Saccharomyces cerevisiae S288C: one gene and its partners. The main gene of each other region encodes a partner of the protein of the gene in region 2 in a complex. Each region holds a gene or a part of one and is shown on either strand. Other genes may lie near its edges. A codon is read from its position in the direction of its gene.

Region 1 (6,578 bases), on a different chromosome or scaffold from region 2:
CTTGGCTACCCCCGTGCAATTTGAGCTTTTGTCACGTCGTTGGAGACAAAGGAAGAACATCCAAAGTTTAGAATTAATGATATATGATGACGCTCATGAGATTAGCCAAGGTGTTTACGGTGCTGTGTATGAAACGCTAATTTCTAGAATGATATTTATAGCAACCCAACTTGAAAAGAAAATTCGATTTGTTTGCCTTTCGAACTGTTTGGCAAATGCTCGTGATTTTGGTGAATGGGCTGGTATGACGAAGTCAAACATCTACAACTTTTCTCCAAGCGAAAGAATTGAGCCTCTTGAAATTAATATTCAGTCATTTAAAGATGTTGAGCACATATCATTCAATTTTTCGATGCTTCAAATGGCATTTGAAGCATCTGCTGCTGCAGCGGGAAATCGTAATTCCAGTTCGGTGTTCTTACCATCTAGAAAGGATTGTATGGAAGTTGCGTCTGCATTTATGAAGTTTTCAAAAGCAATTGAATGGGATATGTTGAACGTTGAAGAAGAGCAAATTGTACCATACATTGAAAAGTTAACAGATGGTCATCTAAGAGCACCTTTAAAACACGGTGTTGGTATTTTGTATAAGGGGATGGCATCAAATGATGAAAGAATTGTGAAAAGGTTATACGAATATGGTGCGGTATCGGTTTTACTCATTTCTAAGGATTGTTCTGCATTCGCTTGTAAAACTGATGAAGTGATTATTTTAGGAACCAACCTTTATGATGGTGCAGAGCATAAATATATGCCATATACCATAAATGAACTTCTAGAAATGGTGGGACTAGCTAGTGGTAACGATTCAATGGCAGGCAAGGTTTTAATTTTGACAAGTCACAACATGAAGGCCTACTACAAAAAATTCTTAATTGAGCCTTTGCCTACTGAGAGTTACCTACAGTATATTATTCATGATACTCTGAACAACGAGATAGCAAATTCTATTATACAAAGCAAACAAGATTGTGTTGACTGGTTTACATATTCGTATTTCTATCGTCGTATCCATGTGAATCCAAGCTATTATGGCGTAAGGGATACGTCTCCACATGGAATTTCAGTTTTTTTGAGTAATTTAGTTGAAACTTGTTTGAATGACTTAGTTGAATCATCCTTCATTGAAATTGACGATACAGAAGCTGAAGTAACCGCAGAAGTTAATGGAGGAGATGATGAAGCAACTGAAATCATTTCTACCTTGAGCAACGGGCTAATTGCTTCTCACTATGGCGTATCATTTTTTACTATTCAGTCATTCGTTTCTTCTTTATCGAATACGTCAACGCTCAAAAACATGCTGTATGTTCTTTCAACAGCAGTAGAATTCGAAAGTGTTCCACTCAGAAAAGGAGACAGAGCATTACTTGTCAAATTAAGTAAAAGACTACCATTGAGATTCCCTGAACACACCTCTTCTGGTTCGGTGAGCTTTAAAGTTTTCTTATTGTTACAAGCATATTTTTCACGTCTTGAATTACCTGTCGACTTTCAAAATGATTTAAAAGACATTCTAGAAAAGGTTGTTCCACTAATTAACGTAGTGGTTGATATCCTTTCAGCAAACGGGTATTTGAATGCTACTACCGCCATGGATTTGGCGCAGATGTTGATTCAGGGTGTATGGGACGTTGATAATCCGTTGAGACAGATTCCACACTTCAACAACAAAATTTTGGAAAAATGTAAAGAAATTAACGTCGAGACGGTCTATGATATAATGGCCCTTGAGGATGAAGAGAGGGATGAAATTTTAACGCTTACTGATTCACAGCTTGCGCAGGTCGCCGCGTTTGTTAACAATTACCCCAACGTTGAACTTACTTATTCGTTGAATAATTCTGATTCGTTAATTTCAGGTGTAAAACAGAAAATTACCATTCAATTGACAAGAGATGTTGAACCTGAGAACTTACAAGTAACATCTGAAAAGTATCCGTTTGATAAGCTAGAAAGTTGGTGGTTGGTTTTAGGTGAAGTATCTAAAAAAGAGCTTTATGCGATCAAGAAAGTTACTTTAAATAAAGAGACTCAGCAATATGAATTGGAATTTGACACTCCGACATCTGGTAAACATAACTTAACAATTTGGTGTGTCTGTGATTCATATCTTGACGCAGATAAAGAGTTGTCCTTTGAAATAAATGTGAAATAAAATCATTGTTTAGTCCTGGATAATCGAATGGATTTCAATATATAACATTCTCTTGCGGCTATTTAATCTAATTGTGATATATACAGTTTATAGCAAAAGCGTATCATTGCATCACTGCATTTCTATATCTTCATCTTCATCTTCATCCTGTTCTCCTTCTTTGTTTTCGTTTTCAATAAATCCACCTTGATCTTTTCTGCTATTCTGGTGCTTTATTAAATCTTCATAACTCCAAACAGATACACCCTCTTGGTCTTTAGGGTCTGTGGGTTGTGCCATTGTTCTCAAGAATTGTTTGGTATTGGATATGGCCATGTCAGTCGAAAGGTTCAAATCGGCGTCAGACAAACCTTGAGCAATCCATTTTGGTAACTGGCTTCTTTTTCTTGAAAACCTACGGTCTGCTAGTACCATTACACCATAGTCGTCCTTCCCTCTCAGTACTCTCCCCAGACATTGAGCTGCATGTCTCATCGCATCGAAAGATAAGAAGTCGTTTTCTCTGATGCGATAGTTCTCCCTCATGAATTCTAGGCGAGCTTTCAAAATACGCGATTCTGTGTATTGAAACGGGATACCTATCATCAGCACAGTTCTGCCATATTGATGATCAAAATCGATACCTTCAGATACCTTTCCTCTAGCAACAGAAAGCAAAATTGCCCCACGCCCATTTGAGCAAGCCTTTCTATAGGTTTCTAAGGCTAAAGAAGTTTCTTGAGCATCAGGAGTCTCAACTAAAATTAATTTATGTTTCCAAACTTCGTCAAGAATACCCATTGTTTGCCACATTGAAACAATACTTTCCATATATAGATATGAGGGGAAAAAAACAACCATTCCATCAGGTGTGATCTTGGCAAACTCTACTAGCATAGAACCGTAATTACGAACAATACTAGGATCGTTTCTGATTTCAAATCTTGAAGAAATTGCAACTTGATCAGAACCCTTGGTAATAATCATTGGTAGAAATGATTTTTTGGCTAAGGTCATGGCATATGATTTTTGTAAAACAGTTTTAAAGTTTAACATTCTTGGATACATGTCTAATGGTGATATGGTCCCTGAAGTGATAATAACGGAAGAAAATCTCTCAAAGACTGGTTTGATGGCAATCGATGCATCTAAGCAAGTAAATCTCATAATCGGATTCGGAACTGCAGCATTTTCGATTTCATACGGTTCAATAATTAGTAAAAACCCTTCCTCATATGTTGATATAAGAGTAGCAAAAGTTGCTATGTCTTTCAATGCAGTAAAATCTTCTACCTCTGTAACTTCTAAAGTTCTTACAAGTAATGATAGCCTTTCTGAGCAAAACCGAAGAGGTTTCCTTTCTATGAAAGTTAACTGTTTTAAATGCTGTAGAAATGATTTTGGCGTTTCTGAAATAACGTGAAGAACTTTCATTCTGGTCTTCAGATATTCTATCAATCTTTTCAAAAATGAAACAAAATGCTCGGCTCTTCGTATATTTCCCGGGATTGCTTCTGTTAGAAGATCTTGGGGCAATACAGGTGTTTCCACAAATGGCTCTTCCTGGTCGGTAAGAATATCTGCAGAATGGAGACCTTGAACTAGTTTTTCGTATTCATCCTGTAATTTCTGTGAGTCAACCTTTCTGACCTCAGAAATACGTTCATCTAACGCATTAGCACCTCGTGTGGCTCTTCTCAATGCATCCGTTGTCAAGTCTAATGACAGCGATTCGATACACACATTATCAATATTGTGCGCTTCATCAAAAATGACAATGCTATCTTTAGAAACCTCGTTGGAAACTCTTTCAGCAATTTTAGGATCTAATAGATAATGGTAAGAATAAATAATAATGTTACAAAGAGAAATCATACGACGAACAATAAAATATGGACAAAGTGTTTTTTCTTCGCAGTATTTCAAAAGTTTTTCAAAAGAAAATACGCCTTTTGGAAGATAATCCTCTACTTCAATATTGTACAAATTCTCATGGTATTCACACAATTCTACATTTGCCTCTGGATCCTCTTCTAATTTTCTCTTCGCCTGCCCATTTGTCATTCTACGGCACTTTTCATCGACTACTGTACCTTTTCGTTCCTTACTCACTTCGGGATGCAAACACAAATTTTTTCTTGATGTCAAGCCAAGACCTCGAAAATCCTCTTGATAGCCTAGTTCTTTAGTTCTGTAATCCATAAGGTTCTCTAACTCTACTAAAGCTTTTTCAATTTCAGACATAGTACGAGAACAATATATGATCTTTCTATGTTCTGGGTAGTGCATCTGGTAGGCAATTGTGAGGGATAGTAATGAGACCGTTTTACCTGTTCCTGAAGGCATCTCCAAGATACTATTTCCACCTACATCCAGAGTCTTTTTAATATCGCACATATAATTATACTGCTCTGGATATATCTTGGGGTATGGAAAAAGCACTGGTAAATCATCTATATAAAACTTCATTGTTTCCAATCTTCTTAAAGTGTAGTCAAATCGGGCCGATTATCACCTTCAACCCAAGATGAAATATAGTATTTCTATGAATGGCTAACAGTACTTTGTCAACTTTAAGATATACATATATATATATTTATTTATTATTTACAGACCAGAGATTTCTTTTCAAAAGCTATGTAGCATAAAGTACGCTACTTTAATTTTTCATAAATTTCATATACATCGCTTAAATGCCGTCGGCCATGATTAATATAGGATTAACTCATATCATAAAGGCTATTCAGAATATTCAAAGTGAACTGTAATCATTTGGTTGACGAGATGCTGACTTCCAACTAGAGTCACGGTTTTTCAAAGTCTCGGGGAAGGTTAACATATACTTGCAGTTAGTGTAGCGTTAAATCACCCTATTAGCCGAATTTGCTGGTTATAAGGTTCAATAATTTCGGAAGATAATATCTGATGTTTCCCCAGAGACGGTACCAAAAATCCCACTTTTTTTGTAATAATCTTTTAAAGGCTCATTTGTTTTCTTGTACTCTTCTAGCCTTTTTTTAAACACTTCCGCTGTGTCATCAAGCCTCTTGGTCAATGGTTCTCCGGTGATATCGTCTAATCCTGGCACTTTGGGAGGATTATATTGTAAGTTATACACTCTCCCACTAGGAACGTGAACATATCTGTTCTCGATCCTTTCTAATATGGTGGATTCGGGTACATCTAGCTCTACCACTAGATTCAAGCTGGCGTCATGCTGTTTCAGCAGCTCGTCTAAGGCAGAAGCTTGCGCAGTAGTTCGAGGAAATCCATCGAGCAACCACATGGCAGATGGTTTTAACCAACCCAATGCCGAAAGACGAAAAGTTATCAGACGCGTTATGAGATCATCCGGTAATAACTTGCCTTGAGCAATGTAGGTAGTAGCCTCTCGGCCTAGGGTAGATTCAGATTTTATTTCCTGACGTAAAATGTCGCCTGACGAAATTGAAGATAATTGTGGAATTTGCTTTAGTAATCTCGAAGTCTGTGTCCCTTTACCTGACCCTGGAGCCCCCAATAATAAAAGTCGAAGAGGTTTGAGTAGATGTGTTATTTGTTTCGCGTCTGCTTTCATTGATGCTTGCTAACCCTGTTCCTGAAAATTTAAAGATTTACAAACAAATATATATACGTATATTATCCTTTTCTACACATGTGTATCTATATAATGATGGTTATTGTAATGGTATTTATTAGTGAATGTGGGTTTTCGCGAATTCCCGGCCGACCGAGCACATTTTAAGAGCCTTCAAAATGAGAGATCTCGGTAAACAACTGGCAATCGTGAGTCAGTTTAAAGGTGTACTCTGTTGATTAATGGCCGCTTTCCCGTCCTGCGGTTGCACTGTAGGGTTCATTATTGGAGCATCTACTGTTGTTTCGTTTGAAATACACGGTATTTTCTTATTCAAGTGCTGCAGAACGTGATCTCTCCTTTTAAATCTTTTGCCACATTTGGGACAAGAATGAGGTTTCTCACCAGAGTGGACGGATTTTTTGTGTCTTGTAAGATGGTGACCAGAAGAGAACTTTCTTTGGCATTCCTTACAAATATAAATCTTGTTCTTACCTGATAACACGATTTCTTCGGGCGCAAACTTAGAGTTTAATGGAGAAGAGCCTTGTTCTTTGTCCAGATCGTCATTTCGGCTTGTAAAAGAATCCTCTTGGCGAGTGGATGCAACCTTTGAAAGTATAAGATTTGATTTTGATGTCTCGACAGGAGATTCCTTTTTGAGTATTCTATTTGCTGTCTTGTGATTTGGTCTTTCAGGGTGCGGTGTTTTTATGTCGTTTGTGTCACTCAGTGGCCCGAGCACAGAAGTAGAGAGATTTGACACGGTTGATGGTGTGGAGAATGAATGTTGTTGCGAATGTTGTTGTCTTGCCTCGTAATTCAGAGCTATAGGGCTTCTTGACGATTCCCTGGATATATTTA
Region 2 (7,029 bases):
AATATTGGAAAGGCTGCTGTAAATCAAAAACGAATCGATTTTGGGGAGACAAGTAAAAATGCTCAATTCTGCGTTACTGTGGAAGGTTTGGCTACGAATAGACAACTCCACTGATGAAGTAAACCAACCAATTGCTGTACAGTTCGATGAAATAGATACTGTTGATGATTTGAAGAGCAGGTTTTTTCAGAAACTGAGTTCGACTCGATGGCGAGAAATTAACGATAATGCTTCCATTGCAATAGGCCTCTACGCACCTAAATTTGACAATCAAGCCGACAATACCAGTAGTAACAACACTAACGATAATAGTTGTCGAAGTAAGAGTAACGGTGCTGGAAGTGGCGCCAACCTTTCCGTTAATAGCAATACCAAGAGTTCAGTGAGCCCCACAGCAGGATCATTTGGTCTTTCAAAAGACCTTGCAAAGGACAGGAATGTTCTCCAGCATCCTAAACCTACGCAGAAAAGAGGAGCATTATACGACGCCTTTGCCGCCGTGCCGACAGTGGCCGCGACTACCAATGTGGATTTTCCTCCCAACGAGGCGCCAATGCTAAGCCCGCAAAGACCATACTCTACTAGTCCTAAACAGTTTCCAGCAACAACTAAAAGTCCGTTACTGCGATTTGCCTCAGTCTCACCCTACCCTAAATTTCATTCTGATAATCAAATTATGGCATCAGCTGGTCTTACATACGTCTCACCGCATAATAAAAATAAATACACAAGGCCGTTGATTAGAAAAGGTTTAAATTTTACCACAGAATCAGTTAATGATTGCACTTATAAAATCATCTTTGAACCGGATGAATTGGCTATTAACATATATAAGGAACTATTCGGAACCATGGGTTCCCAACCTGCATCGCAGCCTTTGCTGATATTTTCGAATGTTAATTTACGCCAGGATGTACCGCCTTTAGATATCTTAAATGTTGTAGACTATGTTCCTACGAATGAAGAAATTTCGCAGCAGAAAACTCAACCAACAGACCATGGGGCCGTTGGTGTTTTTCATCTAGACGACCATATTTCTCCGGGCGAACAAGGTCTTAAGCAAACAATTGGTGATAAAGCAGATCTTAAAGGTAAAGATGGCAATAGCAGCCCTCAGGAATTTAAATTAATAACTGATGAAGAGCAATTGAGAAGAGCGTCACAAGAACTGAAGGATGAGGAAAAGGATGCCGAGTCTCCTTGGCAAGCAATCTTGCTGTTACCAAAAGGTTATAAAGGAGGGGTAGATTTTCGAAATAAACCAGTGGCCCACACGGATTCATCTTTCAATAATGAAGACACAATTACTCATTCAGAGTTAGAAGTGAACACCGGATCCCCTTCGCAAGAAAGCGGATCACTTAATGAAGCTGGTATAGGCATAACGCAACCCATGTCGGAAGTACAAAGAAGAAAAGAAGACGTTACGCCCGCATCACCAATATTAACAAGTAGTCAAACGCCGCATTACTCAAACTCGCTTTATAACGCACCTTTTGCTGTTTCCTCTCCACCAGATCCTTTACCAAACCTTTTTACCACCACAAGTGAAAAAGTTTTCCCCAAAATTAATGTTTTAATAGTTGAAGACAACGTCATCAACCAAGCTATCTTAGGTTCCTTTCTGAGGAAACACAAAATCTCATATAAACTGGCTAAAAATGGTCAAGAAGCTGTTAATATTTGGAAGGAAGGCGGTCTTCATTTAATATTTATGGATTTACAGCTGCCTGTCTTGTCTGGTATAGAAGCTGCCAAGCAGATTAGGGACTTCGAAAAACAAAATGGCATTGGCATTCAAAAAAGTCTCAATAACTCACACTCCAATCTTGAAAAAGGTACTTCAAAGAGATTCTCTCAGGCGCCCGTGATTATTGTAGCATTGACCGCATCTAACTCTCAGATGGATAAAAGAAAAGCACTTCTTTCTGGTTGTAACGACTACCTGACTAAACCAGTGAATTTACACTGGCTTAGTAAGAAAATTACAGAGTGGGGATGTATGCAAGCCTTGATTGATTTTGACAGCTGGAAGCAGGGAGAAAGCCGGATGACCGACAGTGTTTTGGTTAAATCTCCACAGAAACCTATTGCACCTTCCAACCCTCACTCATTCAAACAAGCGACATCTATGACCCCTACACACAGCCCAGTAAGAAAAAATTCAAACCTCTCGCCCACTCAAATAGAATTGTGAGTTTGGTTGTACCGTGTAGAGGACATTATGATAGAATGTAACGATATTTATTCAAAATAATTATTAATATTATTGTAAAACAAAGAATTTTTTTTTTTTTTTTAGTTGAATAAGTGCCTGATAAATTGAAAATAGTAATAAATATTCTTAATGCCGTAAGTGCTATTAAGATTTTCTCGTAATAAACAATAGGACATTAAATGAGGTTATTTTTGTAATAATTATGTAGTTATATGTCCATCAAAAACTATTTCGTTCTCTACTACTTGGATTTGTTATATGATGGAAGAGTGATCGTGTTATACGCTGACAGATTTTCGTTAAGTTATTACGGGCTTGGATTCACAGCCTGGGCAGTTATGAAGGATTTCATGGATGAACACATCGCAGTCAACACAAAATTCTTGTTTACAATCTTCACAACGATAGCGAGAACTTGTCAGTAGTTTACCATTTTTATGGTTTTTCAGTATGGGAAATCTTGACTGGCAACTAAAGCAGTCTTCTGATCGAAATTTTTCTGTTGTAGGTACTTCTGCAAATGTTTTTAACGGCATCAGATGGTGATATGATCTGGCCAGGTGGGTAGAAAGGATTAGCATCAAGTCACAACATGGACAGACTGTGGGCAATGAACAAACTTTACTATGACAATTGGGACAGAAGTATCCGCCGTAAACTAACTTGGAATGGCACGAACAAAAAGTTGGAGTATCTTCGAATATCCTTGTCGGAAACCCCATCTTTACGAGTGTGAAACCCTTATTAATTTTGTTAACGGGTAAAGGGGTAACAGCCTCGTTAAATAGCTCCTTTAAGTGAGTTTCATCGAGTAAAATTTTATAGAAGGATTCATCACCATAATTCGTTGCCTTGCATAATTCTTTACATATGGCCACTTGAGCTGATAACCCCAAAACCTTCACTCTAATTTTCTCAGAAACTAACGAATCGATAGTTTGGTGAATATCTCCAGGATCAGTTGTGGAAAGACTACCAAATACAATCAGTACTTCCCTTGTACAATGCGCAGGAACAGGCAATAAAAGGCCTCTTGCCATTTCCAATGCATTTTGCAATGAAGGGTTTCCTTTCGGTTCTTGTTTCCTGATGGATTTCAACGCATCAATGTGATCCTGCGGGTTTCCGCTAACTTGGCTGACCAGTTGTGCCAAACCGTTTCTCATTATGATAATACCCATTTGAGATATCGGATTTTGGTCGAAAAATTCATGGACAAAATCTATGGCGTACTGGATAATCATGGCATGCCTGTTTGGTCTCAAATCCTTTTCCAACATAGCTTCACTACAATCTAGTGTTAATATTAAACTTCTGATAATACCTCTTTGGTATGGCGTTATGTTTTTCTTAGCAGTACGTTTCTTTCTGGCCTCGACTATGCTAGCCACAAGAGATGCCATATCCCCTTCATCGTCCACTTTCACCAAATCCCAACTTCTCTTGATCTCATCCTCCCAAGCGTACCCACCATTTGAACCTTGCAGGTTTCTATTCGAGAGCCTTTTCTTCTTCTTACGCTGCACATGTTTATCCCTATCCCTGTGGCTTGAACTGTGCTGCTGTTGCTGTTGGTCTACACGATCATCTCCCTCGCCATCAAAATGAACTTGTCTCTTAGTTCTTCTAGTAATGGCAACTCTATCCTCATCCTCTTCAGATTCTGAAATAACTACAGGAGCCATTCTACTGCACAATCCTTCCGCACACACGCAATTAGCTGCCGACTTGCCCCACTAGTAATCACCTGCATCTATATAAGATAAGATGAAGACCTTTTACGTATCTTGAAAAACTATACAATAGCAAAGAAACCTACCACCCAGACCCTGTGCGGAGTATCTCGAACTTCCAGTATATTACTCTCAAGTAGATGACGCGTAATAGACAGGTTTTATTGGCAAATTTCGAGTCGCTATCATTATCAACATTAATTATAGGGTGGTGTTTGGTTGGTTCGAGTGCCGTCATAACTATTTGTTTTTTTTGCATATCTGGTTGATCCTCCTTAGTTAATATAGTCTCTTTGAGTTTCCCTTAAGGAACTGTCATTTGGTCCGGCGGAAAACATGGTGGTGACAGACAGCCTTTTCAGAGGTGATGAGCAATCTCGATGAGCATCTCAGCGGGTGCATATATACACGTATATAAGATAGTTCAAAGTATGATAGATTAAAGTTTACTTTGTTGTTGCTGAGAAGTAGTGAGAGTGTCAGCAAATCAATACAATGAAAAACATGTCACAACGATCCATGGACGTGGAGAAGAAGGCAGCTAACGCTGATAGTTGTTCCGTAAGTACCTCGAGCATTAATGTAGACGATGCGGACGTTGCTTTAAGATTCCTGAAACAGAACGGTCTCGACGAAAGCTCCACGGCTAATGAAGACGATGTTGTAGCAGGCGAAGAAGCCAACTTCTATGGTTCCCATGAATTATCTCCTAAGGTCCTGAGAAAAGTTGACCTCTTCATCCTGCCCTTTTTATGCTGTACATATCTTCTGATGTTTTTGGATAAGGCTCTGCTGAACTACGCTGCATCTATGGGTATCAAAGATCATTTGAAAGGTAACGAATTTTCTAATTTGGGTACTATCTTTTCTGCTGCTTACATTTTCATGGAACCTGTGGTCACTTACTTAATTCAAAAATTCCCCATTTCCAAAATCCTAGGTACTTTTATTACCGTCTGGGGTATCGTGTTGGCTTGCCATGCTGCTTGTAAGACGTACGCCTCGTTGATGGTCGTTCGTACTCTCCTAGGTCTCTTTGAATCCTCGAGTGCAGTTGGTTGTATCGCTATTAGTGGTATGTACTATACTAAATCTGAACAGAGTGCAAGAATTGGATTCTGGGCCACACAGGCTGGTACAGGTTATATTGTGGGCGGGTTAATTTCTTTTGGCTTTTTACATTATCATGGTACCGCTTTCACCTCTTGGCAAATAATGTTTTTGGTCGTTGGTCTGGTTACAGTTGCGTTTGGTGTTCTAACATTCTTATACCTTCCAGATAACGTCACCAATGCTTGGTTCCTAAACAAAGAGGAAAAAATTCAAGTTGTTGAGCATATCAGAGCTAACCAAACTGGCCTGGAAACAAAGAAGTTTAAGAAGCAGCAAGTTAAAGAACTATTCCTTCATGATAAGTTTACTTGGCCGATGCTTTTATTAACTGCATGTTCTCAAATTTCTACTGGTGCCATTGGTACATTTTCAGTGACCATCACTGGTACTTTTGGTTTCGACAAGTACGAAACAGCATTACTGCAGTTGCCTATTGGTGCCATTACGGCTATGATTATTCTTATAACAACTCAAATGTTGTCCCGCTGGGGTCATATCACACTCATAACCACATCTATGTATATTCCAGCTATTATAGGTTGTATCGTTCTTATCAGTTTACCCTTATCCCATAAGATCGGTAACTTATTTTCTCTGTACTTGCTTTACAGTGGTTCCTGTGTCATTACCAATATTTACATCTGGAATTCATGCAACACCTCCGGTTACACCAAAAGAGTTTTTAGAAATGCTATTACAATGATTGTATACAATGTCTCCTGTATTATTGCTCCACAGATGTTTAGGGCATACTCTGCTCCACGTTACATACCAGCAAAGATTGCCTTATTGGTCACTCAGTGTGTTTGTGTTCCCCTACAATTATACATTGGCTACATTTGCAAGAAGGAGAACGAAAAGCGTGATAAGGAACAAGAAGGTCAAGAAAGGAAGAAGTACCAATTTTTGGACTTGACTGATATCGAAAACAGAAATTTCAGGTACATTTACTAATAATCAACTTTTAATTTACAATATATAATATTTTTAGTCTGTAATATTCAATATTCAAAGACACCCAAACATTCATTGCACTTGGTATTTACCAAAAAATTGAAGAGAAAATTTTTGAGATGACCATGGATGAGGCAATGAAAGTCGAAATTTGATCCCCGCTACTAACTTCTAAACATATCGTCAGGACAATTGAGCTGAAAATGTCTAATCCAGATGATTTAGATGATGGACTCGCCTATGATTTTGATGCCGAACATGAAGTAATTTTTGACGCCAAGGATGGTAGTCCCCCAACCAAAAAGGTACAAAAGAGGTCTATAGAACAAGATGACGATGACGTTGATGATATAGATGGGAAAAAAGAGGAGAGAAATTCAGAAGATGATTCGAATAGACCTATTTCGAAAAGACAGAAAAAGCTACAGAAAAAATCAAAGCTAATTGAGAAAAAGAAAGAGGAAAGCCAGTATATCGTCTCACAACGAAAAGCACTTCCAGCAAGTTCACCAGAAAAAATTATTGAGTACCTAACAACTTTGATACGAGAAAAAAATCCTGACTTGAGTGTTTTAGAATTAGAGGAACTTTACTTCAAAAGAAATGATTTTCTTTCGACAGAAAAATTTGACGCTGAACGCAGATTAAGCAATTTCCCAGCCTTTATTCAAAAATTTTCCGTAGCTCCAAAAAAAATTGTTTTTTCTATGTCTAATATTAGAGTAGCAGACGTTTATCGTAGTCTAAACGGTGGCAAAAATTGCGTCAAATTATTCTCTAAAAGTAAACTAAAGGATGACATAGCCACCGTGGAACGTTTACTTACTGACAGCTCTAAAAAATCAAACAAAAATAAAGATTCACTATATTTTATTGCCACTCCAACAAGAATGCAGAAAATTATAGAAGCTACTGACTTACTTTTCCAAGGTAAGGAAAAGTTAGATATCATTCTTGATGCAAGTTATTTAGATCCTAAGGATAATACTATATTATCATTCGAGAATGCAG
Region 3 (6,135 bases), on a different chromosome or scaffold from region 2:
TTGTTAAAAGGAACTTTTGTCCTTTCCATGATGCCGTATTTTAACGATAACTCCCAATTTGCTTTTCATTACAAAGTTTAATTTTTCAGCTGTTAATAATCGAAGTTTTAACTTCCCTTTTCTTTTATTTTTTTCTTTAATTGTAAAAGATTTCTATATATTTGTTTAATTATGATCTTATATATTCATTAATATTTACTTTGAGGTGTTCCCTCACCTATGAATAAACAGACACTTCCTGGTTCTTTAAGTCCATCGGAGTCATGGCTACTATATGGATAGTGATGTTACGTACGGAGGATATATATACATATCGTGCATTATTCTACTTCACTGAATAAGTCACTATCCAAATCCTCTGGTACATCACTATAATGCTCATCTTCACTCGATGAAGATCCATCATCGCTCATTGCACCATCTTTCCCTTGACCTTCACCCTGTTCTTCTGCTCTAGCTTTTCTTCTTTCCAATTTACGTTGCTTTTTAGCATCTTTAACAGCCTTTTTTTTAGCAATGTTTTCTTCTTGTTCCTTTCTTCTTTGTTCCTTCAGCCTCATTTTTGCAGCGTGTCTCTTTTCTAAGGCTTTGATTTCTTCGCTTGATTTTTGAACAAATTCATGATGTAATACTTTACCTGAACAAATACCATCTTCTATTTTGACCAGTTTTAGAGTTAATCTTGGTCCTAATTCAGTCAGTTTGATAGCCTTCTTACGTGGAGTTGGTTGCGAATTTTCTGAAGGCTTAGGTTCCTCCATTTCCACATCTTCTTCTTCAATTCCTTTTTCACGTTCTTCGTTATCTGTCATTTTAACGGGTGTTTTTTGCGACAGCGAAGTTTGAGAATGTTTTGCCTTCACGTCCTGATTATCAACCACTCTCACAATAGCGTCATCTTCAATTTCAGATTCTGATGTATAGGCGCCTAAGTCATGATCTAATATCAAAGAAGAAATATCTTCTTTTCGATGCAAATTCGGCACTGTTTTACTTAGATTATTTTTGGCTTTATAAAGCCTTTTTAGATTTCTAGAGATCTCTACTTCTCGAATGTCAATAAAATAGTGGCGCATAGAAATTTCCCCCGTTTCTCTGTCTTTATTGATCATAAATATACGTTTGATAGAATTCAACGAAGTTCTTGCAGGATTCAGAGGTGGGAAAATATTCTGGAACATGGAAACAATAACCTTCTCCACGTTTACATCCTGATCGTCTTCATCAGATCTTTTCGATGTGGAAAACCCATTTAACACTAGCAATGGAGGATTTAATACATCATCATTATTTAACGATTTAGGTCTCTTCAAAAATTTTTTGATATCTCTACCCAGTGAATAGTCCAATACTTGAAAAGTAACAGTAGGACCTTGTGGAGTTCTAGCTATCTTTAGCGAGACATTTCCTGTTTTTTCAGATTGAGTGAACATGAAAAGATGCGTAACACCTAATGGGCCACACATAACAACAAAATCCTTCAGTTTATTGGACTTGCGCTCTTTTAGTTTTACGGCCGTATGCGGTTGCATGATCTGGCGAAAATCCTTTACTAATTGGTTTAGAGAATGGTTAGCCAATGAAGTTTGTCCCACTCTGATTACCATGGATTTAGGAATATCTCGTTCCTGCTCGGGTGTGATCTGCGCATGCGTTCTCTTTTTCTGCCTTCTTTTAGCCATTAGTTCCAAAATATCTAAGGTATGTGCGGGATGGTGACCTAGCAGCTGCAATTTAGTCGAATATTAGCTAGACTAGTTTATTTTGCCTATTTAATATCATTCATACAAGCCCGTCGATGAGATGCATCTACACTAAAAAATTGCAAAATCGTCCAAGATGATAGATAATGACTGAACTAACAGTCTGGAGTATTGCAAGTGCTTAGGTCTGTTTGGCAAAATTTTTGAAAATATTACTGAACCATTAGCAAGCTGTAATAGAACTAAAGCACCATTACTGATTTATTTTGACGAATCGTTTGCTAATTTTCAGCCACATCACATGCTGAAATATTTCCCGTTTGTTTCTTGTTTGTTTCACAAGCCATTCGCGCGCGTTTTCACGTTAAATGTTTTATTTACACGCACGGCTGCATCAGTGCAGCACAGCGTTAATCGAGTCCCGCGTTTTTCTATTGTTTACATAGAGACTAAAGACCAAAAAGGAAGAATACACACAATTAAGTTTTATGTAATATGTAACATGCAGTAAATAGATGAAAAATATGAATGTAAAAAGTGGTAACAACTGGAGAGCCTTTATATTTCTAGTTCGAATTGTTGTTATATTCGTTGAAGTACTCATCGTACTTATGAGTAGCCAAAGTAATGGAGTTCAAAACTGGCTTCAAATAGGCGGTACATGTGTTTGACATAGATTCACCATCACCATTAAGGACGTCTTGAAATAGCTCATTCAGCTTTTCAATACAGTCCTTCAAATGATTATAAAGTTTTTTGACGGTACTGGCTTGCTTTTGTTCACCGCTCTGAAAATGAATATAAAAGTGCTTTAGAAATTCACAGCACGTTGTGTGTAGCATTCTACAACTTTCTAATAGGTCTATTGGTAGGGTACTTTTCACCTCTAATTCATTTGCTTGAGAAGTGTTGTCGACAAAAGAGCCGAGTGCTGAATTAACATTGTTATGCTTAGCCTGTTTGGCGTTAATCTTGATTGCAGTTATGACTCTTTTATTGATCTTGTTGCTGACTTCGTTGTTAGGAACTACTTGGTTCAAGTCTAGCTTATTAATTAAATTATCCATGACCAATGACAACTGTTGTAACATTTGTTGATTAGAAACCTTCAAATCTGCATTCTTTATCGAGTCTGCCGAGCTTTTCGCATCGTTGTCGGTTGTCTTTTCATGTGCGTTCCTTTTCAGATGTATGATTGCATAGTTTGTCTTGTAGCTTTCGTTTAAGTCATCGATTTTCAGTTCATTTCTTTCATCATTATCTTCATCTTCCTCATCGTTTGTAATATTAGATTTGTTCTGTAGATTTGTCCTTGAATACTCATTCTTCAAAGCCATAATCATTTTTTCACTCAATCTATTCATACCCTTTAAGATGTCCACGGTACCATCGCTATTACCATTAATATCCACACCTGGCTGCATAGTGAAGTCGGGCCTGTTGCCTCGTACAACTGGGTCGTCCTGTATGTTACCATCTAAATCTATAATTTTTTTCACAGGATGCAATAGCATGTCATCATCTTTTCTGTCGAACTCTTGATCCAATGTCAAGTACCTGTCAATGATTACGTCACCTCTATCATTTTGCATGATCTTTTCACCCCTTAATTTTCTGAATAACTTCGAAGAGAAGAACCTTGCCCAGAACTCTGGTTCTTTGAAATTTTTGGGCACATTATCAGTGTAAGCTTTCTTTACAATTGGATAGTTCTCAAAAATATTCAAAATTTTTTCTCTTGACAAATTAACATTGACTTTGTTTTCCGATGAAGCCACCGGCTTGATAGTTGACAAAACGTTGTAAGGCCCAACTTTTTGAGAAGTAGATAAGGCAAAAGCCCTCAATAACGGAATTCTAGTTGACCAAAATTCAGATGGAGGCAAACCGGCGTTAATGACTGTTTCCTGAAAAACCTTCATTAGAACTTTGTTTCCTTTCAGTAAAGATTGCTGTAGCTTTAAATTGGTCAACAATTTTTCTTTAGAGAGAGAATCATCTAGTTTGGCTGTATTAATCAACGGAGCCCCATTATTCAATTGTGGTGTATCGAGATGTGGTGTGGGAGTCCCTGCAGTAACAGAAGAAGAGCTCATTGGTGTTTCTGTGTGTTGCGCAGACTCCTCTCTTCTTCTCTTTTCTTCGTAGATATCTGCATCTTTATACCGTGAGATGATTTGTTGAAGGGTCATCTTGATATTATCCATAACTGTTCTATTGTTAAACGAAAACATATGACGTTGCGGTTTGGGCACAACCTCATTTCCTTCGTTGTCTTTTCTCTTTTTTGACTCATCCACTTTCCCGATTAGCCTCAACATCATTTTTTCACTGGAAGCAGGGGTAGCTTGTAACTTGTCAATAGTGGATAAGACAACTGTGTGAACCTTGTCACCGTCCGTAGACCTCCATGTCAATTCTGCGGGTGAAACATCCTCATTTATGGCAATTATCCCAGAAACTTTCTCAAAAATGGCAGCTCCGGAATGTGACATTATGGTTTACTTTTATTTTTTCCCTACCCCTACCCTAGGTTAAATATTATTACTTTCACTGGGAAAGCTTATTATGCTAAATTTCAGTATTGTCTAAAAATTGCGTCAAAAACGAGCAGCCTTATCATGTCCCACGGGTTGTGGCTTTTCTAGTTTACTGTCGAATCATACTATCATTTTTAAAGATTGGTTTCCATTTTCGTTAGACCGATATCCATTACTTACACTCCTTTCATATCTTTCCCACGTGGCCTTAACTACGTTTACTAATACTTACTATGTAAGTCACAATTTCCATTAATTTGCGTCGTTCAACAAGATAAATTGCTGTAATTATATGACTGCGACGCGACGGCGACGTCAAATTTTTTTTTTTTTTCCTGAATGGAAAAGGGAAAGGACAACAAATGATGGCAAAATATTTCAGTTTGGATTCACAAGTTCTCCACTTGCATCCGCTATAGATAGCCACACTTGTTTCATTCAGCGCTTGTGATACCACGATTGTATCATTACTAGTGGCTTTAATTTTTTTTTTTTTTTCATCTATCCTTTTAATACCATTTGTGTTTGAAATAAACTGCTAAAAGAATTATACACAGGCATATTTTATCAAAAGTGTCAGCAAACAGAGCACAAGGGACTTGTTTAAAGTAGCTAAGTATCATAAAAATTTAGTCGCTAGTGGTATTATTGAGATCAAACGAAAAGTTTCATACATAATTAACAAAATTCGTTTGTTGCGGGGATGTCTGAGAACACCACAGCCCCTTCTGATAACATAACCAATGAACAGAGACTTCCGTCTGGACCCAAAGATGACGTAGATACGTTAGCACTTACCAGTGCTCAAAATCAAGCTAATAGTTTGAGGAAGCTAGATACAGATGCGAACGCTAAAGCTTTGCCATCCATCACAGACATACCAGTCAGTGATGATTCTGATATAAAACGACAAGTTGGCTCTGGTTTTGGTTCAAATCCGCTTCATATAAAAGATTCCGAGGCCTTTCCACATTCATCTATTGAAGCCCTAAAAGAGGGTATGGACAAAGTCACAAAACAATGCAACGATTTGAAGACGGCTTTGCTTTCCAAAGACACTTCCCTCACTGATTCTGTGCAGGATTTGTTTAACTCATTAAAAGTTTTATCACACAACCAATCAGTTTTGGAAAATAAGCTGGATGATGTCATGAAGAATCAAGTAAATACTGACATATTGGTCAATAATTTGAATGAACGATTGAACAAATTATCGACAATGTTGCAAAATACTTCGAAAGTAAATCACTCTAACCTTCTCATAGAAAATTCATCCAACAATACCAGTTCACAGCATAATACCTCTTCTTCTCGAAGGGGACCTGGCAGGCCAAGAAAAGATGCCTCGACCTCCACAATGAATAAGTTAGTGTCAAACGCAGCCTCGGTCAATCTCAAAAGTGCATCCAATCAGGGTGCTCCTTTCTCACCAGTAAATATTACTTTACCGACTGCCGTAGTACAAACGTCTAAATCCAAAAGGTATTTTGTGGAACCATCAACGAAACAAGAGTCGCTTTTATTATCTGCCCCTTCATCATCAAGAGATGATGCTGATATGTCCTTGACTTCCGTACCGCAAAGAACGAACAATGAAAATGGTAAAGAGCGACCATCCACTGCTAATTCTAGCTCCATCACACCAACACCTGTTACGCCGAACAACTTAATTCAAATCAAAAGAAAAAGAGGCAGGCCCCCAAAAAAGAGAACAGTGGAAACAATGATATCCAATTCCACGGATACGATAGATAAGTCAGATGCATCTAATCGGATTAAAAACGAGATTCCAATAAATTCCTTGCTTCCATCTTCCAAATTTCATCAAATACCATCATCTCCATCCAATCCTGTGTCACAACCGGCTCCGGTTCGGACTTCAAGGTCAGCCA

The links. Proteins that work in one complex are often made in the same cells at the same time.
Region 1: the proteins of SSL1 (region 2) and RAD3 are in contact, whole or in part, in a cryo-EM structure (PDB 7K01), measured with the Saccharomyces cerevisiae proteins. Residues at the interface, in NP_013105.1 of Saccharomyces cerevisiae: Glu134 (codon at 3,504), Asn207 (codon at 3,285), Leu239 (codon at 3,189), Ser240 (codon at 3,186), Thr241 (codon at 3,183), Thr242 (codon at 3,180), Asp243 (codon at 3,177), Ile247 (codon at 3,165), His248 (codon at 3,162), Ser267 (codon at 3,105), Ala268 (codon at 3,102), Gln269 (codon at 3,099), Val270 (codon at 3,096), Ala271 (codon at 3,093), Ile272 (codon at 3,090), Ile290 (codon at 3,036), Leu292 (codon at 3,030), Asp293 (codon at 3,027), His296 (codon at 3,018); in NP_011098.3 of Saccharomyces cerevisiae: Ile532 (codon at 3,013), Pro534 (codon at 3,007), Asp535 (codon at 3,004), Lys565 (codon at 2,914), His566 (codon at 2,911), Ser591 (codon at 2,836), Asn592 (codon at 2,833), Gly593 (codon at 2,830), Arg594 (codon at 2,827), Gln615 (codon at 2,764), Tyr676 (codon at 2,581), Lys718 (codon at 2,455), Arg722 (codon at 2,443), Ala725 (codon at 2,434), Gln726 (codon at 2,431).
Region 3: the proteins of SSL1 (region 2) and TFB1 are in contact, whole or in part, in a cryo-EM structure (PDB 7K01), measured with the Saccharomyces cerevisiae proteins. Residues at the interface, in NP_013105.1 of Saccharomyces cerevisiae: Gly177 (codon at 3,375), Leu178 (codon at 3,372), Ala179 (codon at 3,369), Gln184 (codon at 3,354), Asn207 (codon at 3,285), Asn212 (codon at 3,270), Met216 (codon at 3,258), Gly219 (codon at 3,249), Leu220 (codon at 3,246), Leu222 (codon at 3,240), Pro223 (codon at 3,237), Thr242 (codon at 3,180), Asp243 (codon at 3,177), Pro244 (codon at 3,174), Gly245 (codon at 3,171), Asp246 (codon at 3,168), Pro333 (codon at 2,907), Thr334 (codon at 2,904), Phe335 (codon at 2,901), Cys336 (codon at 2,898), Ser337 (codon at 2,895), Ser340 (codon at 2,886), Lys341 (codon at 2,883), Asn351 (codon at 2,853), Cys352 (codon at 2,850), His353 (codon at 2,847), Ser354 (codon at 2,844), Pro364 (codon at 2,814), Cys365 (codon at 2,811), Cys366 (codon at 2,808); in NP_010597.3 of Saccharomyces cerevisiae: Pro215 (codon at 3,556), Arg218 (codon at 3,547), Ala219 (codon at 3,544), Leu222 (codon at 3,535), Ser223 (codon at 3,532), Gln226 (codon at 3,523), Lys227 (codon at 3,520), Val228 (codon at 3,517), Gly229 (codon at 3,514), Pro230 (codon at 3,511), Tyr231 (codon at 3,508), Asn232 (codon at 3,505), Leu389 (codon at 3,034), Glu548 (codon at 2,557), Arg551 (codon at 2,548), Thr555 (codon at 2,536), Cys558 (codon at 2,527), Glu559 (codon at 2,524), Lys562 (codon at 2,515), Ala614 (codon at 2,359), Tyr615 (codon at 2,356), Pro618 (codon at 2,347), Ser622 (codon at 2,335), Lys629 (codon at 2,314).

The regions. Positions count from the first base shown.
Region 1 is NC_001137.3:525,110-531,687, reverse strand, and holds RAD3 (TFIIH/NER complex ATP-dependent 5'-3' DNA helicase subunit RAD3), read right to left. Parts: upstream 4,607-6,578; coding exon 2,270-4,606; downstream 1-2,269. Other genes in the region: ATP-dependent RNA helicase BRR2, read left to right, coding at 1-2,158; adenylate kinase ADK2, read right to left, coding at 5,037-5,714; RPH1 (Rph1p), read right to left, coding at 5,929-6,578. UniProt on the Saccharomyces cerevisiae protein: ATP-dependent 5'-3' DNA helicase.
Region 2 is NC_001144.5:156,923-163,951, reverse strand, and holds SSL1 (TFIIH/NER complex subunit SSL1), read right to left. Parts: upstream 3,904-7,029; coding exon 2,518-3,903; downstream 1-2,517. Other genes in the region: mitogen-activated protein kinase kinase kinase SSK1, read left to right, coding at 59-2,197; THI73 (Thi73p), read left to right, coding at 4,447-6,018; CMS1 (Cms1p), read left to right, coding at 6,222-7,029. UniProt on the Saccharomyces cerevisiae protein: Component of the general transcription and DNA repair factor IIH (TFIIH) core complex, which is involved in general and transcription-coupled nucleotide excision repair (NER) of damaged DNA and, when complexed to TFIIK, in RNA transcription by RNA polymerase II.
Region 3 is NC_001136.10:1,083,128-1,089,262, reverse strand, and holds TFB1 (TFIIH/NER complex subunit TFB1), read right to left. Parts: upstream 4,199-6,135; coding exon 2,270-4,198; downstream 1-2,269. Other genes in the region: PIB1 (phosphatidylinositol-3-phosphate-binding ubiquitin-protein ligase), read left to right, coding at 1-44; SSF2 (rRNA-binding ribosome biosynthesis protein), read right to left, coding at 321-1,682; SUM1 (Sum1p), read left to right, coding at 4,947-6,135. UniProt on the Saccharomyces cerevisiae protein: Component of the general transcription and DNA repair factor IIH (TFIIH) core complex, which is involved in general and transcription-coupled nucleotide excision repair (NER) of damaged DNA and, when complexed to TFIIK, in RNA transcription by RNA polymerase II.